Linked DNA regions of Diceros bicornis minor. The main gene of each other region encodes a partner of the protein of the gene in region 2 in a complex. Links are inferred from orthologs where the notes say so. Each region holds a gene or a part of one and is shown on either strand. Other genes may lie near its edges.

Region 1 (7,153 bases), on a different chromosome or scaffold from region 2:
CCCCGCCCGTGGAGGCTGGAGGTGGAGCTGGGGCACAGCTAGGGCGGAGCACCGCTGGGCTTGGTGTCCTGGCTGCCCATGGGAGGTGTGGGAGGGGATGGTAGCACTGGGGGGTCTGCTATGGTTTTTGGTGGCTTCTACCCTGAAACTTTCAGGCTGGGGCCCCTGCCTGTTTCCCACGAGCCTCCCTAAGTCACATCCTGTGGGCAGACGCCTCAGCAGAGGGTTCCGGTGGTGTCATCACCTCCACCCTGCCATCCCTGGTCTGAACCCCAACATCCGCCAGTCACTTCCCCTTGGAGCCTCAGGCCCTCAGCCCTGCCCGATGGAGGGAGGCAGGCAGGAGTGGTCCGGAGCCCTCCGGAAAGCTGCCCAGGCTGCCCAGGCCTGGGGCCCAGATCGCCCACGTGGAAGTGAGAAGTTAGGTCCTGGCCAGAGACAATTTCTCTCTGACTTTGACATCTGATTGGCTGGTTCGGGGGAAATAGTTCCTGCCCCATGGATTGGCTAAGCTGGCAAGGCCAGGCACCTGGCCAGTACTCAGTAAATGTTTGCTGACTGGCTGGCCAGGCTCTGAGAGAGCGCCTGGTCCTGCTGCCATTTAACACGTAGGGAAACTGAGGCACGGAGTACGAACGGGAGCCACTAGCCAGCTGTTTGACCCTGGCCTGAACTCTCGATTTTCCTCCCCTGAGCAGAGACAGGATGGGGCATATGGAGGGAAGGAGAAGACAGGCTCATGGGTGGGCTACTCTTGGCTGCTCATACATCTGGGGGACAAGGGGTCACTGGATAGAGATTCAGGACTGAGCATGGCTGTGTGATGCCCTGAGCCCTGTAACACCATGATGTTCTGCCCACATCAGCCAGGTACTGACTCTGTGCCTGGCAGTGTTGATATGTGTCATCCTCCTGGAACTTTCCAGCACTCCTGTTAGGAGGTTGCTATTATTGGGCCCAAGTTACAGAAGAGGAAACTAAGGCTCAGAGTGGTAAAGAGGCCTGCCCAAGGCCACACAGCCAGGAAGCTCTGCAGCTGGGATTCAAAGCCAGGTCTCTTTGCTCTCAAAGCCCAGGGTCATTTACCATCATCCTACACCGCCCCCAGGACAGACAACTGGGTCGAGCTGGGGAAAGGCATCGACTGAGACCAAGAGCATAGTAGGCACGGGGCCAGTGTGGATGCATAAGGCTAGTTTCTCTCTCAGGGAGCATGAGGTCTGCTTGGAACATGCCATGAAAACAAAGTGTCTGTAACGTGGATGACACTCTCAGTACAAATGTTTTATTTCATCGCTACAGGATCATGTGAAGATGTTGTATTTGTTCCATTTTACTGATGGGAAAAACGAGGCTCAGAGAAGTGATGTCACTTCCCCAAGGTCATGCAGGTGGGGTCTGGACTCAGGTCTGCCTGGGCCAATGCCTTTGACTATGAACTTGAAGGTCTCCAATCCTAATGGTTCCTGGCCAAACCAGGCAACTGAGGCATAGACTGAGGGAGAGGGGCAAGGACGGAGGGGACAGAAATCAGAGCAGGGTTCCTGGGGACACTATGGCTCATTCTAGACCTGCAGAGACTCCATGGAAGCAAAAGATGGAGCCAGTGGAGGGAAGAGTAGCATCCAGGTGTGGGTCCAGCGCAAGCAAAGACCTGGGGGCAGGAAGGCACTTGTGTGTTCAGGGCTGCAGAGCGTGGACTGGGCTGGGCTGGCCTCCAGCGCAGGCTGAGGAGGGCCCGCGGGACAGCCACCCGCCAGCAGGTCCCCAGCCGCACTCCCAACGGCCACTCAAGGCAGCACAAAGGGGGCTCTCAGCTCAGCGGAGCCGCCACACTGAGCCCCATTCATCCTCCCAGGGACGCGGCAACTGCCCTGGCGCCCGGGCCAACGGCAGGGCCAGCCTAGCACTGACAAGGCACCTCCACCACGGCAACACAGCCGCGCCGGGGCCGGGGCTAGGACTCCCGGCTCTCACGCCATGCGCCTGCTCCGGGGTGTTCCTGGCCAGTGCCAGTCTGCTCCTGGCCTGAACCACCCCCATCCCTCAGCAACAGCCGCCGTTCCCTAGTCCAGGGTTTGCTGAGGCCACAGTGCACTGGCCTGGGCCAACATTTGCTCCTTTCATCCTCCCAGGAAGTGGGGGCAACTGTGACCCCATTTCACAGATGAGAAAACTGAGACCCAGAGAGGTAAAGTCTCTTGTGAAGGATCACAAAGCAAGTTGTGAGTGGCCCTGGCTGGGAAGCTAGCCCAAGTCCCTGGACTGCCTCCTGGGAAGAAGCTGGGGGACCTACCCCTTGCCTTCCACTAAGAAGACCCCCAGCTACCACCAGGCCACAGGCCCCTCTCCCTCTTCTGACAACAACCCAGAGATAGGAGTTAGAATACCTGGGTCTCTGTTCCTCTTCAGCCTCAGTTTCATCTGTGAAATGGGACACACCAGGATTCACCTCACAGGTCTGTTGTAAGGATTCAATGGACGATCTGTAGAGGCTTCTAGCTCCATCCTTGGCTCATGGTCAGGGCTCAGCAGAAGGATCTGGAGTCATTCCCCTTTTTCCTCCCAAGTCCTTGGTCCAGAAACCCCATCCTTTTCATTTGAACTTTGAATACTGGTCCCATCCAGACTGGTCTGTAAGCAGGACCCTGCTGCCTCAGTCTCATGGGCTGTGTCCCTCTCAGGGCCTCGGGTTCCGTCTCATCCCTTCAAGAAGGTTCAGCCAGACCCCTCCCCCACCAAAATCCATCATCCAGCTGCTAGGGGCTTTTGGGAGCTGTGGGCGTGGAAGGTAGGCCCTCAGGCCCCACAGCTGGACAAGCAGGTTCCAATTCCAGTTAACTTGGACTTTTCGGGGCCTCGATTTCTACATCTGTAGAATGGGAACAAAAGTAATGACATTACCTCTTAGGGCAGAAGGACTGAGCCCTGTGGCTGGAACATACTAAGTGATCAGAAGATGTTAATCGTCATTATTCTTGTAGGGGATGCAGGAAGGGCCCCATCTGACCTTGGACTCACTCTGTCACAGCCTCGGTTGCCAGGATGACAAGGTCCGATCCTGCTGGAGCCTCTGCGGGTTGACTGCGTCCCTTGCACTTGAGCCCTTTCTAGAGGTTAGGTGACTGAGGCTTCAGAGCGGAAGTAACTTGTCCACAGCGCTCAGAGCTGGGATTTGAAGCCCCTGGTCTTGCGGCTCCCCCAAGCCGAGCAGCTGCTGACAGCCTCCGCAGGTGTCTGGGACAACCTGTCTTGGGAGGTTTCATTTCCTCATCTCTGTCCTGCCCACGTGAGTGTGCCTACACACACACACACACACACACACACACACACACACACACACGAGAAGGTTGTAGGGTGGAAAAGTCCCAGGCCCTGAGTTAAGGGACCTGGAAGGGCAAGTTGGAACCCAGTCTGTGCCACCAATCTGCTGTGTGAGCTGGGGCAATCCTTCTGCCCGTCTGTGCCTCGATTTCCCTATCTCTGTAAAATGGGTGTGGTAGACCAAATTACCACTGTGTCCTTGCCAGCTTGAAGAGCAGTGACCATGCCTTGGTGGGCACCGATTCCATGCCAGGCTTTCCACCAAGCCCTGGACCCCGTGAGGGGGGCATTGCACACACCGTCTGTTCACAGGAGGAAACTGAGGCACAGGGAGGTGAGTTCCCTAGTCCAGGATCACACAGTGACAAAGTGGCTGTCCAAGACTTGAAATTGGGTCTGGGTGGTCCCAGAGCCCACAGGCCTAACCACAGCACTCTCCCATCCACCACCACCAGTGCGTCCCCCCAGCACTGAGGCTTAGAATAAACTGCCCTGCGCGCAGGCCTGACTCCCCGCACCCTCCCAGCCCCCTGGCCAGACCCCCTGACAGCTGTTGGCAGGTCCCCAGCGGCCCCCGGCCCAGTGGGCTCCGTTCCCGGAGCCTGTGGTTTGTTCCCCAGACCTTCCAGGTCCCACGGGCTTGTGGTCTGCCCCCTGCGCCCCGCTGCTGAGGCCAAGGAGGTGGCCCACAGGGGCCGGGACTGGGGGAGGCCGCGGCCCCCGCCCCTGCGGACAGAATGAGGAGGGTGGGGCTGTGGGAGTTTCACTGGTTTAAAAATACACAGAGGAAGCGAGTGAGAGGACGCGAGAAAGGGGAAGGGGAGGTGAGGGAGGCATCTCAACGCTGATGTCCAGAGCCTCGAGCGACTACTCGCCAGCAGGCCAGGGGCTTTGCACGACCTGCCAAGATGACGGAGGGGCCCAAGAAGGCCAGCAAAAAGTTCAGTAAGTGCGGGGTGCTGTTGGCACTGTCCTTCGTCCCTCTCTGTCCATCTCAGCCTCTCTCTGCATCCGCCTCTTCGTCCCTTCGTCTCCTTTCTGTTTCTCTTTCTGTCCATCTCTGTCTCTCTCCAGAGGTCTCTGCTCCTGGGTTTCCATGTCACCATCTCTCCATGTCACCATCTCTCCATGTCTCTGGCCCAGTCTCTCTCTCTCTCCAGCTGGTTCAGCTCTCCATCTCTGTGCTTCTCTTGACTCTGTCTCTGCACATCTCTTTTTCTCTGTCTCTCCCCACCCCACCTCTCAGTCTCTCCATTCGTCTGTGTGTCCCTCTGCATGTCCATCTCTGGCTCTCCCTGACCTCACGGCTGGGTAAGGGAAGACCTTCACACATTTCACCCCCTGTCTCTGCGCCTGGTTCACACGGGGTTTCAGGTTGGGCGTTACTGGGGCCAGGGCCGAAGGGTGCCATGGATGCTGTCCCACATTCCCACCAGCAGTGGGGCTGTGACGCTGGGACCGAGCATCCGGGTGGGGAAAGAGCCCAGAGCATCTAGCCGAGGGGCCACACCCACCCGCCACTGTTTGCCCTGGTTGGTCTCCTCCTGGTCCCCGCAAACTTCTGCTTCCCCTGACTCCTTGGATCCGCCAGCACAGGGTGGGGGAGGGGAGGTGTGTGTACAGGGCAAGGATTTTGACTGCATTCTGCAGATGGAAATACTGAGGCCCAGAGCCTTGCCTGAGATCATATGGGGCTATAGAGCAGGGCTCAATCCCATGTCCCTGGACTCTGGGCCTCAGTTTCCCTCCCTACCCAACTATTGTTTCTTCTAGACCCCTGGTACCCAGGAGACAAAACAAGTGGTGCTGAGAAAGGAGGCAGTTTGTGGTCCTCCTCCTGGCCACTGGCACAGCTCCTGCCCCATGGTATAGCTTTCTAAGAGCAGAGCATCTGCATTTTCTGACAGTGTTGTCAGGAGGCAGAGGCTAAGACCAGGTGAGGGTGGGCAGGGCCGAGAGGAAAGCCCAGAGCACTGACCCAGCAGTCCAGGGCCCTGGGCCCTCGACCGGGCTCAGCCCTGCTGTGTGACTCTGGGCAAGTCTCTTCCCCCCTCTGGGCCTCAGTTTCCTCTCTTGTCAAACGCGAGCATCCTACCTATATTCCAGTGTGGTTGTGAGGACCTGAGGAGGCAGAGGGCGCCCAGAGAGTGGAAAATGCCAGGCTTTTTCCTTTTTCCTCATCTGGAGGCAGCAGGGAAGTCAGATGGTGGCGGCTGCGAGGAGGGGCTGTCCTACAGCTGGGGGAGGGGAGGAGGGAACTCACAGGCACCCCTGCGGAAGCGAGGAGATGGTATCACCCGAGCACTGCCACCAGAGCCAGGACCTGGGCTCAGCTGACAGGAAGGACAAAACCACAGGAAGTGGGACCCTCAGGCTCCCGACAACCCCCTTCTCATTTCCACTCCACCCCCGGTGCACAGAGGCTTGCTCAAACACCACCTCCCAGCCCCAACACACACATGCACACATGCACACATGCACACACACATACCTGCTTCACCCACCGGCCGTGTGACCTCGGGCAGTTCATTTCACCACTCTGAACCTCAGTTTCCCCATCTGAAAAATGGGCGATTAAACTTGTGTCATTGAGTTGTGCTGAGAATTCAGTGAGGTAGTGCATGGAGCACGTCTGACAAATGCAGAGGTATTTATTGTGATCACCACCATCATCATCATCTTCATTACTTCTTATGGAGGATATTCTCTGTGCCAGGCACCATGTTAAGCATGTAACTTACATGCTTTTCTTCAATCCTCCCACTGCTCATAGGAGGTGGGTACTATAATCTCTATTTTACTGACGTGGAGAATGGGGCTCAGAGAGGTCAAGTGACTTGCCTAAGGTCACACAGCTAGGATGTGAAAGAGCAGGAATTCAAGCCCAGGGCTACCACAATAATTAGAGAGAGTGTCAGTGAAGCCCTCACCCTCCTTGAACCCTCAATGAGTGGAACTGCACACACTTTTTACTGTTATTACTAGTGTTGCTGCTGGAATCGTCATTAACTCCTTTCCCTCCTCTTCCCCCTTGCCAGAGTTCTTCAAGTTCAAGGGCCTTGGGAGTCTCTCCAACCTCTCTCGGTCCTTCACTCTGAGACGGTCCTCGGCCCCCACCAGTATCCAGTCCCATCTGAAGCCTGACACCTTTGAGGCCACACAGGATGACATGGTGACAGTACCCAAGAGCCCCCCAGCCTATGCCCGCTCCAGTGACATGTACAGCCACATGGGCACCATGCCTCGCCCCAGCATCAAGAAGGCGGCATCAAGACAGGCCTCCGAGAAGGCCCAGGAGGTGGACCCTGAGCCCCATCTGGTGCCCCAAGATCTGCCTGACCCCCCCGGCTTGGAGGCAGCCAAGGAAATGGTGGTGGGGACCGATGCTCCCTTGGAGGACACCCCAGCAGTGGGACCCAACCCCCCAGCAGTGGAGGGGGACCCCATAGGAGAGCCTGACAACCCCAGGACAGACATAGAAGAGGAGAGAGCCCCTGAGGATGTGCCCCCAGAAAGGTAGGTGCCACCCACTGGCAGGTGAGGACGGGACCTGCGGGGATGGTGTCTCCAGCCTCCTGCCACTAGAACCTGGAGAGGACCCCCAGCACACACATCTGGGTAAAAAACACACACCTACACACCAACCAAGTGCTTAATATAAACCAGGCAGTGTGCTTAGCTCGTCACTGGTAACCAATTCTCAAAAAAAAAAAAAAAAAAAACTGGAGAGGAAATGCTGTTATTATTTCCACATGACAGATGAGGAAACTGCGACTCAGGGAGGGAAAGTCCTCTGCCCCAGTCAGGTTGCACATCTAGCAAACGACAA
Region 2 (8,046 bases):
AGGGCTAGACTCACCCTGCTACAGAGCCCTGGGAAAGCTGCCTGGCCTCTCTGCACTCCCACTGCCTCATCTCCCAGGGGTGCCGAAGGGGTTACACAAACTCATGCTTGGAAAGCCACAAGAAGAGGGTCGGTCCCTCAGCGAGGTTGGCCTCTGTGGACGGCTCTACAGGCCACAGCCCCCACAATTAGAGAGACCACGCAGGGCGACGCTCACTTTCAGGCTTTGGATCCTGCCCAACTTGGTTCCCACCCTGGCTCCATCTCTCAGTGGCCATGCAACCCTGGCAAGACACAGGTCCTCCCTGAGGCTGTGACGTCCTGAGCCCAGTGCCTGGCACTCCACACACGTCAGCACCTTCACTCCTTGAAAGGACCCGTCCCTCACTCAATAAAGGAGCAGAGGAGGGGCTGGAATGGCTGTGCCCATTTCACAGACAGGAAACAAGAGGCAGGAACAGACAGCAAGGAACTTCTGGCCTGATAGTGCCAGGGGACAGCCAGCATTTGTCACTCCTAAACACAGATCATGCCAATGCCCACCAGGGGTCTGAAGTGGGTGGCACAGCCGTTTTCCTTTCGAATGCTTCCTGCCTGCCCAGAGAGAAGAGACAGGCCTGGGGCGCCAGATGGTCATGCCCAAGAGGAAGGCAGATGTCAGAGAACAGTCAGGAAGTGCGTCTCCAGGTGCTGCGTGAGCACTGCCCTCAGCTCAGGGTAGAGGAAGGAGCACTGAGCAGGGAGTCAGGAGGAGCCTGTGTGCCCTCCCCTCTCTGGGCCCAAGACCTCCTGTGAGACCAGCTGATCCCTGGAGGGTGCCCCTGTTCTAACACTCAGGAAGTCACTCCTGGCTCAACCTGGCCCATCCCAACCTCTTCTGTCCCCGCCATCACCTCCCATTCCATTCTGAAGTATCCTGTAATTTCTGTGGGCCAAAGTGCCTGCGTCAGCCCCATCCAGGAAAAGATTGCCCAAATGAACGGGTGTGCTTAAAACCCAATGTGTCCTGAGCACCATATGGGCAATCACCATTCTCGGTTCCAAGAGCAGGGCGTGGCGTGGAAGCCTCCAAGGGGCCTCACCACTCACCAGCACATGAAAGCAATTTTTCAAACATTTCACGGCTGCTCCAAAAATGAACTTCTCCTCCCAGCCCCATCAGCTCACACGCTGCCCAAGGTCTCAGGAGAGAGCCAGGATGATCTGACAGCCAGCCACGTAGGGGGCAGATGGTGAGACATCCCCACCCCCACCCCCTGCAGAATCACTGAGGGCTGTGGCTGCAGGTGGGAAGGTGGGCAGTGACTCGGAGCTGGCAATGGTGTGGACAGACCGAGCAGACATTGGCTGCAAGTCTCCACAGCAGTGCCTGTCTGTCCAAGTCACAGCCAGACCCTGGCCCTCCCGCCATCCCTCGCTTGTTACAGATGGGGCCACTGAGGCACACAGCCCAGGAAGGCTACCAAAGTCCTACAAGGCAAGGGGTCTGGTTGCCACCCCAGACTCCATGTCCAGATCTCTGCTGTGACTGGGGACAACCAAACCAATCAATGGCTGACCTCCCAAACTGAGGCCCGTCCAGGCTCTGATGTGGCCTCAGTCACATTCCCTGTTCACCACTGCCCTGGAGACCCAGGACCTCAAGCAGACTCAGGTGGTCCACCTTGTCCCTCCGGCCAGTGCCCACAGGGTCAGGGCAGGTCCTCGGGCCAGAAGAGATCCAGAGTTTTGCAATAAAGCAGAGCAGGAGAGAAGAAGGGGTTGGCAGGCATTTTCTGTCTTCTTTCTTTCTTTCTAAAGATGAGGCAATTATGCTCTGAACCAGAACAGATGGGGGGGTCACATCGGCACGGTCTGGAAGCCCTAATTTCTTCATCTGTAACTCTGCATTACCGCTTCTGGAGGCAGGCAGGAGCCGGGATCTTTAATTCCATAATAACAATGCTTCGCACTTACACAGCATCTCTCCTCCAGTAATCTCCACACACTCTATGGTGGTTAATTAAGAAGCCACTCACCCTGCCAGGAAGCCCCAACTGTCTGCTTCAACATAAGGATCAGGTTCCCTAGGTGAGGAGCAGTTCCAGAAACAAGGCCAGGTAGAGGGGCGCCCTGGCCCACCGCCCCTTGCTGTCAGAGGGAAAAGCCCCTAACTCAGCAGTGAAACAATGGCTAGAGGCCACAGCTTTCCAGCCTGCAGAGGGCGCCCCTCCCAGGCAGGATGCAGCGTTTCAGCCCCCACCTCAGTCTGTCCATCTGTAAAGCGGGCATTGACTGGGGCCTGGACCTGAGGCCTCCTGACAGGGGTAGCCAGGATCACTTGTTCCCCTCAGGAGGTGGGACCCAGATGCCTCCAGATGCTGGCCTAAGTGTGGAGCCAGGCCTGGGGGCTGCCCAAGCCTGCCTGCTGGGCCAGGCAGAGGGGGTGTTAGGTGAGAAGAGAAGCCCCCTGGCTAAGAAGCAGGGAGGGGCCAGGCCCGGCGCCCTGGGGTTCAGCGGCAGAGGAAAACTTCCCGAGAAAGTGAGTGCATCAGCCGTCCTGGGTGGGGGGGTCTTGGGGAGCAGCATAGACCTCTCCCCACTAGGCCTGGCCATCCTGGTGGGGGAGGAGGTCCTGAGGGACTACACGGACTCCTGCCTGGCCCAGCTATCCCAGGGGTTCCCCGGGGGCCAACAAAGAACCTGCCAACCCAGCCTTTCCGGGGGGCTCCCTGAGAGAACAGCACGGAGCCCAGCCCGACCCGACTCTCTAGGGAGAGGATGAAAAGAAAGGCAGGGGCAGAGAGGCCGGCTTGGGGGAGACGCCCCCACCTGCCCGCATCCCCGGCCCGAGAAGGCCCAGGTGGGGCGCCCCCCAGCCCGGGAGCCCCAGCGGCATTAGGCCTTCAGCGCGCGGCGCGAGGTCGCAGGCCCGGCCGGGGGCAGCAGACCCCGGGTCCCAGCCGGCGGTCGGTACTCACCGGCACAGACATCTTGGCCGCCGCTCCCGGGGCCCGGGCGGGCAGCGACGCCGGCAGGCTGGGGGCTCCGGTCCGCCGCGCAGCTCAGAGCCCCCGCGCGGGGTCCGGGGCTGTCCGGGTCCCCGCGGGCTCCCGCTGGCTCCCGGCGGCCGGACGGTCCGGCCGCTCCAGCCGCTCCAGCCCCCGCCGCGCATGCGCCGCCCCACGCCGCCCCTCCCCCTCCCGTCTCCTCCACCGGGGGCCGCGTTAAAGGCGAGGACCCTGGACCCCGGCAGTTTTCTGTCGGCCCAACGGGGCGAGGAGGCTCGGTCTACGCCCCTTACGCATCCTTCAAGGGCCACCTTGAGTCGCACCATCTCCTGTTCACCCAACCGGTTCTGGAGACCAGAACCCCTACCCCCCGCTTTGCCCAGCCCAGGGTGCTGGGAGCCTGCCCTGTGGTCCTGGCCGGGCTCCCAGTCCCTGTGTCTGAAGGCGATTGCAGGTCAGCCGAACACGGCTCCTAGGAACCCTTCCCACTCCCTGGCTGAAAGCCCAGAGACCCCCGGTACTCCCAACGCAGCCCTGCCCAGAGTTCCTCTGCCTGCTCTGCGCTCCCCCCACTGCCCCTCCCCCAGGGATAGGGAGCTCCCGACTCCCTGGGAACAGCCTGACTCATTGTCGGGTCACCCTGACAGTCAGAGATGGACTGGCTTTTAGGGAGGATCCTGTCTCCTGGTAACCCCCACTCATCGGCCCACCCACAACCAAGCCGTCCCTGTGCCAGGGGCCAGCCCTCAGACACTGGAAGACAGGCATTAGCCGCCAGAGCTTTCCTTTCCCAAGGTTAAATATCCCCAATTTCTTCAGCTGTTCCACATCTGACATGGTGTCCAGGCACCTTACCCACAGGCAGGGGGCACATACATGTGCGTCCTAATTTCCCCACCCCCCTGCTAGGTAGGCTTTGCTGTTCACATGTTACATTTAACAGACTAGCTCTGATATCCCTCAGCTACTAGAAGGCAGAACGCTGACCACTCTGTTCTGCTGCCCACCACATACAGGCTGTCCCTGCTCCCTGGGGGCCCTTCCTGGGCAAAGCCAGACAGGGGAAATGGCTGCTACTGCCCAGAGAGAATGAGTGAGCACCTAGACCAGGGTTCCAGGGGCCAGGGCAGTGGACACTGCTGCCCACCCAGAGGAAGAAAGACAGAGCCAGTTCCATGAGGCTGGCTGGCAGCAGCTGTGGCTAATGGTAGGGACCTGGGGGACAGACAGACAGCTCCAGCCCCCTAGGAAGTCTGTAGGGGCAGGTGCCCAGGGTGCAGGCTCTTTCACCTGCCAAGTGTGCAGTGCCAGGAGGCCTAAGGTGACTGAGCAGAAGGAGGAAGCAGTGACAGGTGCCAAGTGGGCTTCCCCAGAGACCCAGGTCTGGCCCCCAGCTCCCTAGCTCTCAAAATCTCCCATTTGCAGATCATCTTTTGGGGTTTTGGAGGCTTTCCAGTCTTCCTCCCCAAGAGGTAGGGTCCCTTGGTCTTTCTCCTGGCGGGTCCTGGGGAGAGTCCTAACAGCGGCCACCAGCAGTGAGAGGGGTACTAGATGTGCAAGAAAGGGGGAAATTGAGAGCTGCCATGAGGCCCAGGTCCTGGTTCTAGGACTGATGAGCTGGGGTCCCTCCCTGCTCCAACTGAGCAGCATTGCCCCCCTTTACCCCTTGAGTGGGGGTTCCCAATTGTGTACCTCACTTTCCCCAGCCCAGTGCTCGGCAAGGCATTGTTGGAGGGGGCAGGCAGGGCCACAGCAAGCAGAGGGGGGTCTGGGCCGACAGCTGCCACCTCCTCAAAGGGCGCTCTGTATGTGTCTGGCAGGCAGCCCTGCCCGTGCCCACCCGCCCGCATCCAGCTGGCACAGGGGCTCCTGAGCTGTGAGCAGCAGCTCAGCCTGGCACCCGGGCTCCCAGCCACACACGGCCGCTGCCCCAGAGGCCCCCACTGCCATGCTGGCCCCCTCCCTCACTAAGCCTGCCTCCTGGCACTCAGGCTCCTCCTCCCTCCTCTCCTACTTTGGCTGGATTCTTTTCGTCCACTGTTTCTGTCTTCTCTCCCATCGGCCCCATCTCTAGATGCTCCTGCCAGAACTGGTTGAACAGCGGGGAAAGACCCCTTCCACACTGCTGGGCACAGGGAAATGGAAACCCAGGGTAGGGGTGCAGCTGGGGCCATGACCTCCAAACCACCTAGTCCTTGCCTCCAACTGACCCCCAACAACTGCTTACGGCTGCTCACTCAGGGAGGGCATCACTAACTCATCTTTTAGTGCAGAAAGAAGGTTCCCTGGCCAGACCCTCACTTACTCTGATGCAGGGACCCAGGGCCTTGGGTATTGGGTTGGGGGCAGCCAGAGGAGCCCCGTCAGGGCACTGAGCGCCCTCCCCTGAACAAGTACCAGGTGTCTATGAAAGCAGCAGATGCTCCTCTCTCCTCTCACCACTTGCCTGCATCCCCTACTCTCCAGCAGGCAAATGATCCCAGGATGACTTACTCAGTCCTGCAGAGAACAGGCTCTGGGGGCCTCACGACTAGCAGTTCACACCAGAAGTAACAGCTGGGAGGCCTGAGCAGGCACCAGCCCCTGAGAGGGTCCTTGAGGGATGACCAGGGCCCCAGGGAGACAGGGGTTATTGTTGTCCCTGGCACTGGGAGGGAAGGGAATTTGGACATGGCCACAGAGTAAATCTGGGCAGAGACAAGCTTCACACCCAGTTCTCCAAACACTCAAGCCTGGCCTCTGTTCCCTGGGCCTTGCTGCATCTAGAGGGGCTGAGGCCTGGGAGGTGGCTTCTTCTCCTTCTGCCTCCCAGGGTAACTGGGGACCGCTCTGGCAGAGGGGCCCCTGGCCCAGGAGAATGCCCTGAGCCTTTGGAAGCACCTGTGGGCACTGTGTCATAATCCTACATTAGCATGGTGCATCTGTCACCATTGATGAACCAACATTGATACATCCTTATTAACTAATGTCCATACTCTACTCACATTGCCTTAGGTTTTCCCTACTGTCCTTTTTCTGTTCCAAGATCTCATCCAGAATCCCACATTACATTTAGGCATCACATCTCCCTAGGCTCCTCTGGGCTATGACAGTTTCTCAGACTTTCCTTGTTTTTGATGATCTTGACAGTTTTGAGGAGTACTGGTCAGGGATATTACAGGCTGTCCCTCAGTTGGGGTTTGTGCGATGTTTTTCTCATGGTTAGACTGCGGTTATGGTTTTTTAGGAAGAAGATCACAAAGGTAAAAGGCCCTTCTCATCACATCATATCAAGGATACATACTATCAACAGGACTTATCTCTGTTGATGTTGACCTTGATCACCTGGCTGAGACAGTGTTTGTCAGGTTTCTCCACTATCAACTTACTCTTTTTTCCCCCACTTTCTATACTGTACTCTTTGGAAGGAGTGGAGTTATGTTCCTCCTTGAGGATGGAATATCTATATAAATTATTTGGAATTCTTCTGTATGGGAAATTTGTCTCTTCTCCATTTATTTATTTATTCAATCATTTATTTATATTAGTATGAACTTGTGGATATTTATTTTGTAGTCTGGATTATAATCCAATACTACTTTATTTTCTTGCTCCAATTGTTCCTGCTTTGGCTGTTGGGAGTTCTTTCAGTTGGTGAATCAGATTTTTTCAAGAGCATCTAGAAATCTAGATTGTTTTATAAAATCTCTTGATTTTGAACCATTGACTGAGTAAGCCAAAACGAAATTCTTTTGCAGGCCAACCCCAGGCAGCTCTGGGCTCTGCAGTCAGACCTGGTTTGAATCCTGCTCTGCTCCTGGCAGCTGAATGATCTTGCACATGTGAGTTAACCTGCCAGGGTCTCGGTTTTCTCATCTGTGAATTGAGAGGGAAAACTCCCTGAGTGGTTGAAAGGATTCGGTTGAATGACTCAGGTAAAGTTCAGGGCACTAGAATCCTTGCTTATGAAACAGCAGGGGCCATCATTGCCACACACATGAGCCAGGTGTGGTTAAGCACCTCCCTCAGAGGGCAAGAACTGAGTTTGTTTCTGGAAGACCTAGAGGGAGACTTCACGGTTGGGGGTGGCTGACAGGACCCTGTGAGCTCTGGAGTGGATGAGCAAGGGAACTACCCACCCCAAGCCTGGTTTTCAACATGAGATTCAAGCTCTACTACTCTGTAGTAACACCATATTGACAGGTGGGGGAGTACCCAGAGCCAGATGTCCTGTCTTACTCATTCTAAAGTGTTAATGACTACCTCTCCCCAGGAAGGCAAGTCAGACTGGCAAGAGAGAGAAGCTCAGCTGAGTGGAGTGAATGGGGAACCCACTGACCTGCCAAGCTAGGCCTTGGTCCTGGCACTACTGCACGCTTACTTCATGACCTTAAATAAGCCCAGTTTCCAACATCCTTGAGGGTAATTTCACAGTCTCTTGAAGGTGGGTCCTGGGGGCTGGGGCAGGGCACCTCCCTGGCTGTCCCTCATGCACAGAACCTTGGGTATACTCTGCCTGGGGGGCATCTGCTTAGGGGAGGGAGTAATGTTCAGGTCATCAGGCTGCTGGGTGCAGAAGGAAACCATCGTCCCTTAGACAGTGGGGCTTCAGGACGTGGTGGCAGCGGGGAGATGCATTAATTTCTTATTGCTGCTGTAACAAATTACTACAAAATTAGTGGTGTAGAACAGCACAAATTGATCCTACAGTTCTGGAAGTCAGATATCCAAAATGAGTTGACAGGGCTGCAGTCCTTCTGGAGGCTCGAGGGGAGATTCCCTTTCCTTGCCTTTTTAAACTTCTAGAGGCCGCCTGCATTCTTTGGCCCGTTTTTGTGGCCCCACATCACTCTGACCTCTGCTTCCATCATCTCATCTCCTTCTCTGACTCTGGCACTCCTGACTCCCTCTTATAAGAACCTTGTGATGACACTGGACCCATTCAGATAATCCAAGAAAATCTCCCCATCTCATGATCTTTAATTTAATCATACCTGCAAAGCACTTCTTGCCTTGTAAGGTAACCTAGTCATAGATTCCGGGGATTCAGGCGTGTATAAGGGGGACCCCTGGCCCCC

What was found. Proteins that work in one complex are often made in the same cells at the same time.
Region 1: the proteins of BCAR1 (region 2) and SH2D3C are in contact, whole or in part, in a crystal structure (PDB 3T6G), measured with the Homo sapiens proteins. The link is inferred for Diceros bicornis minor from reciprocal best matches to the Homo sapiens genes BCAR1 and SH2D3C. Residues at the interface, in NP_055382.2 of Homo sapiens: Ser739, Gln742, Phe746, Tyr747, Gln750, Asn754, Val779, Ser782, Lys783, Ile786, Leu787, His790, Val793, Phe794, Ile795, Asp797, Thr798, Arg801, Gln802, Ser816, Asn817, Cys820, Leu823, Arg824, Val827, Lys831; in NP_733745.1 of Homo sapiens: Thr543, Val544, Pro545, Val547, Gly616, Val617, Arg618, Glu622, Thr625, Leu626, Pro627, His628, Leu749, Leu752, Leu753, His771, Gly772, Val773, Glu774, Val776, Leu777, Leu780, Glu781, Ala783, Arg784, Ala787, His788.

Annotation. Positions count from the first base shown.
Region 1 is NC_080767.1:35,781,512-35,788,664, reverse strand, and holds the start of SH2D3C (SH2 domain-containing protein 3C), read left to right. Parts: upstream 1-4,103; 5' UTR 4,104-4,232; coding exon 4,233-4,269; intron 4,270-6,362; coding exon 6,363-6,840; intron 6,841-7,153. UniProt on the Homo sapiens protein: Acts as an adapter protein that mediates cell signaling pathways involved in cellular functions such as cell adhesion and migration, tissue organization, and the regulation of the immune response.
Region 2 is NC_080771.1:25,786,050-25,794,095, forward strand, and holds the start of BCAR1 (breast cancer anti-estrogen resistance protein 1), read right to left. Parts: upstream 3,071-8,046; 5' UTR 2,972-3,070; coding exon 2,960-2,971; intron 1-2,959. UniProt on the Homo sapiens protein: Docking protein which plays a central coordinating role for tyrosine kinase-based signaling related to cell adhesion. Implicated in induction of cell migration and cell branching. Involved in the BCAR3-mediated inhibition of TGFB signaling.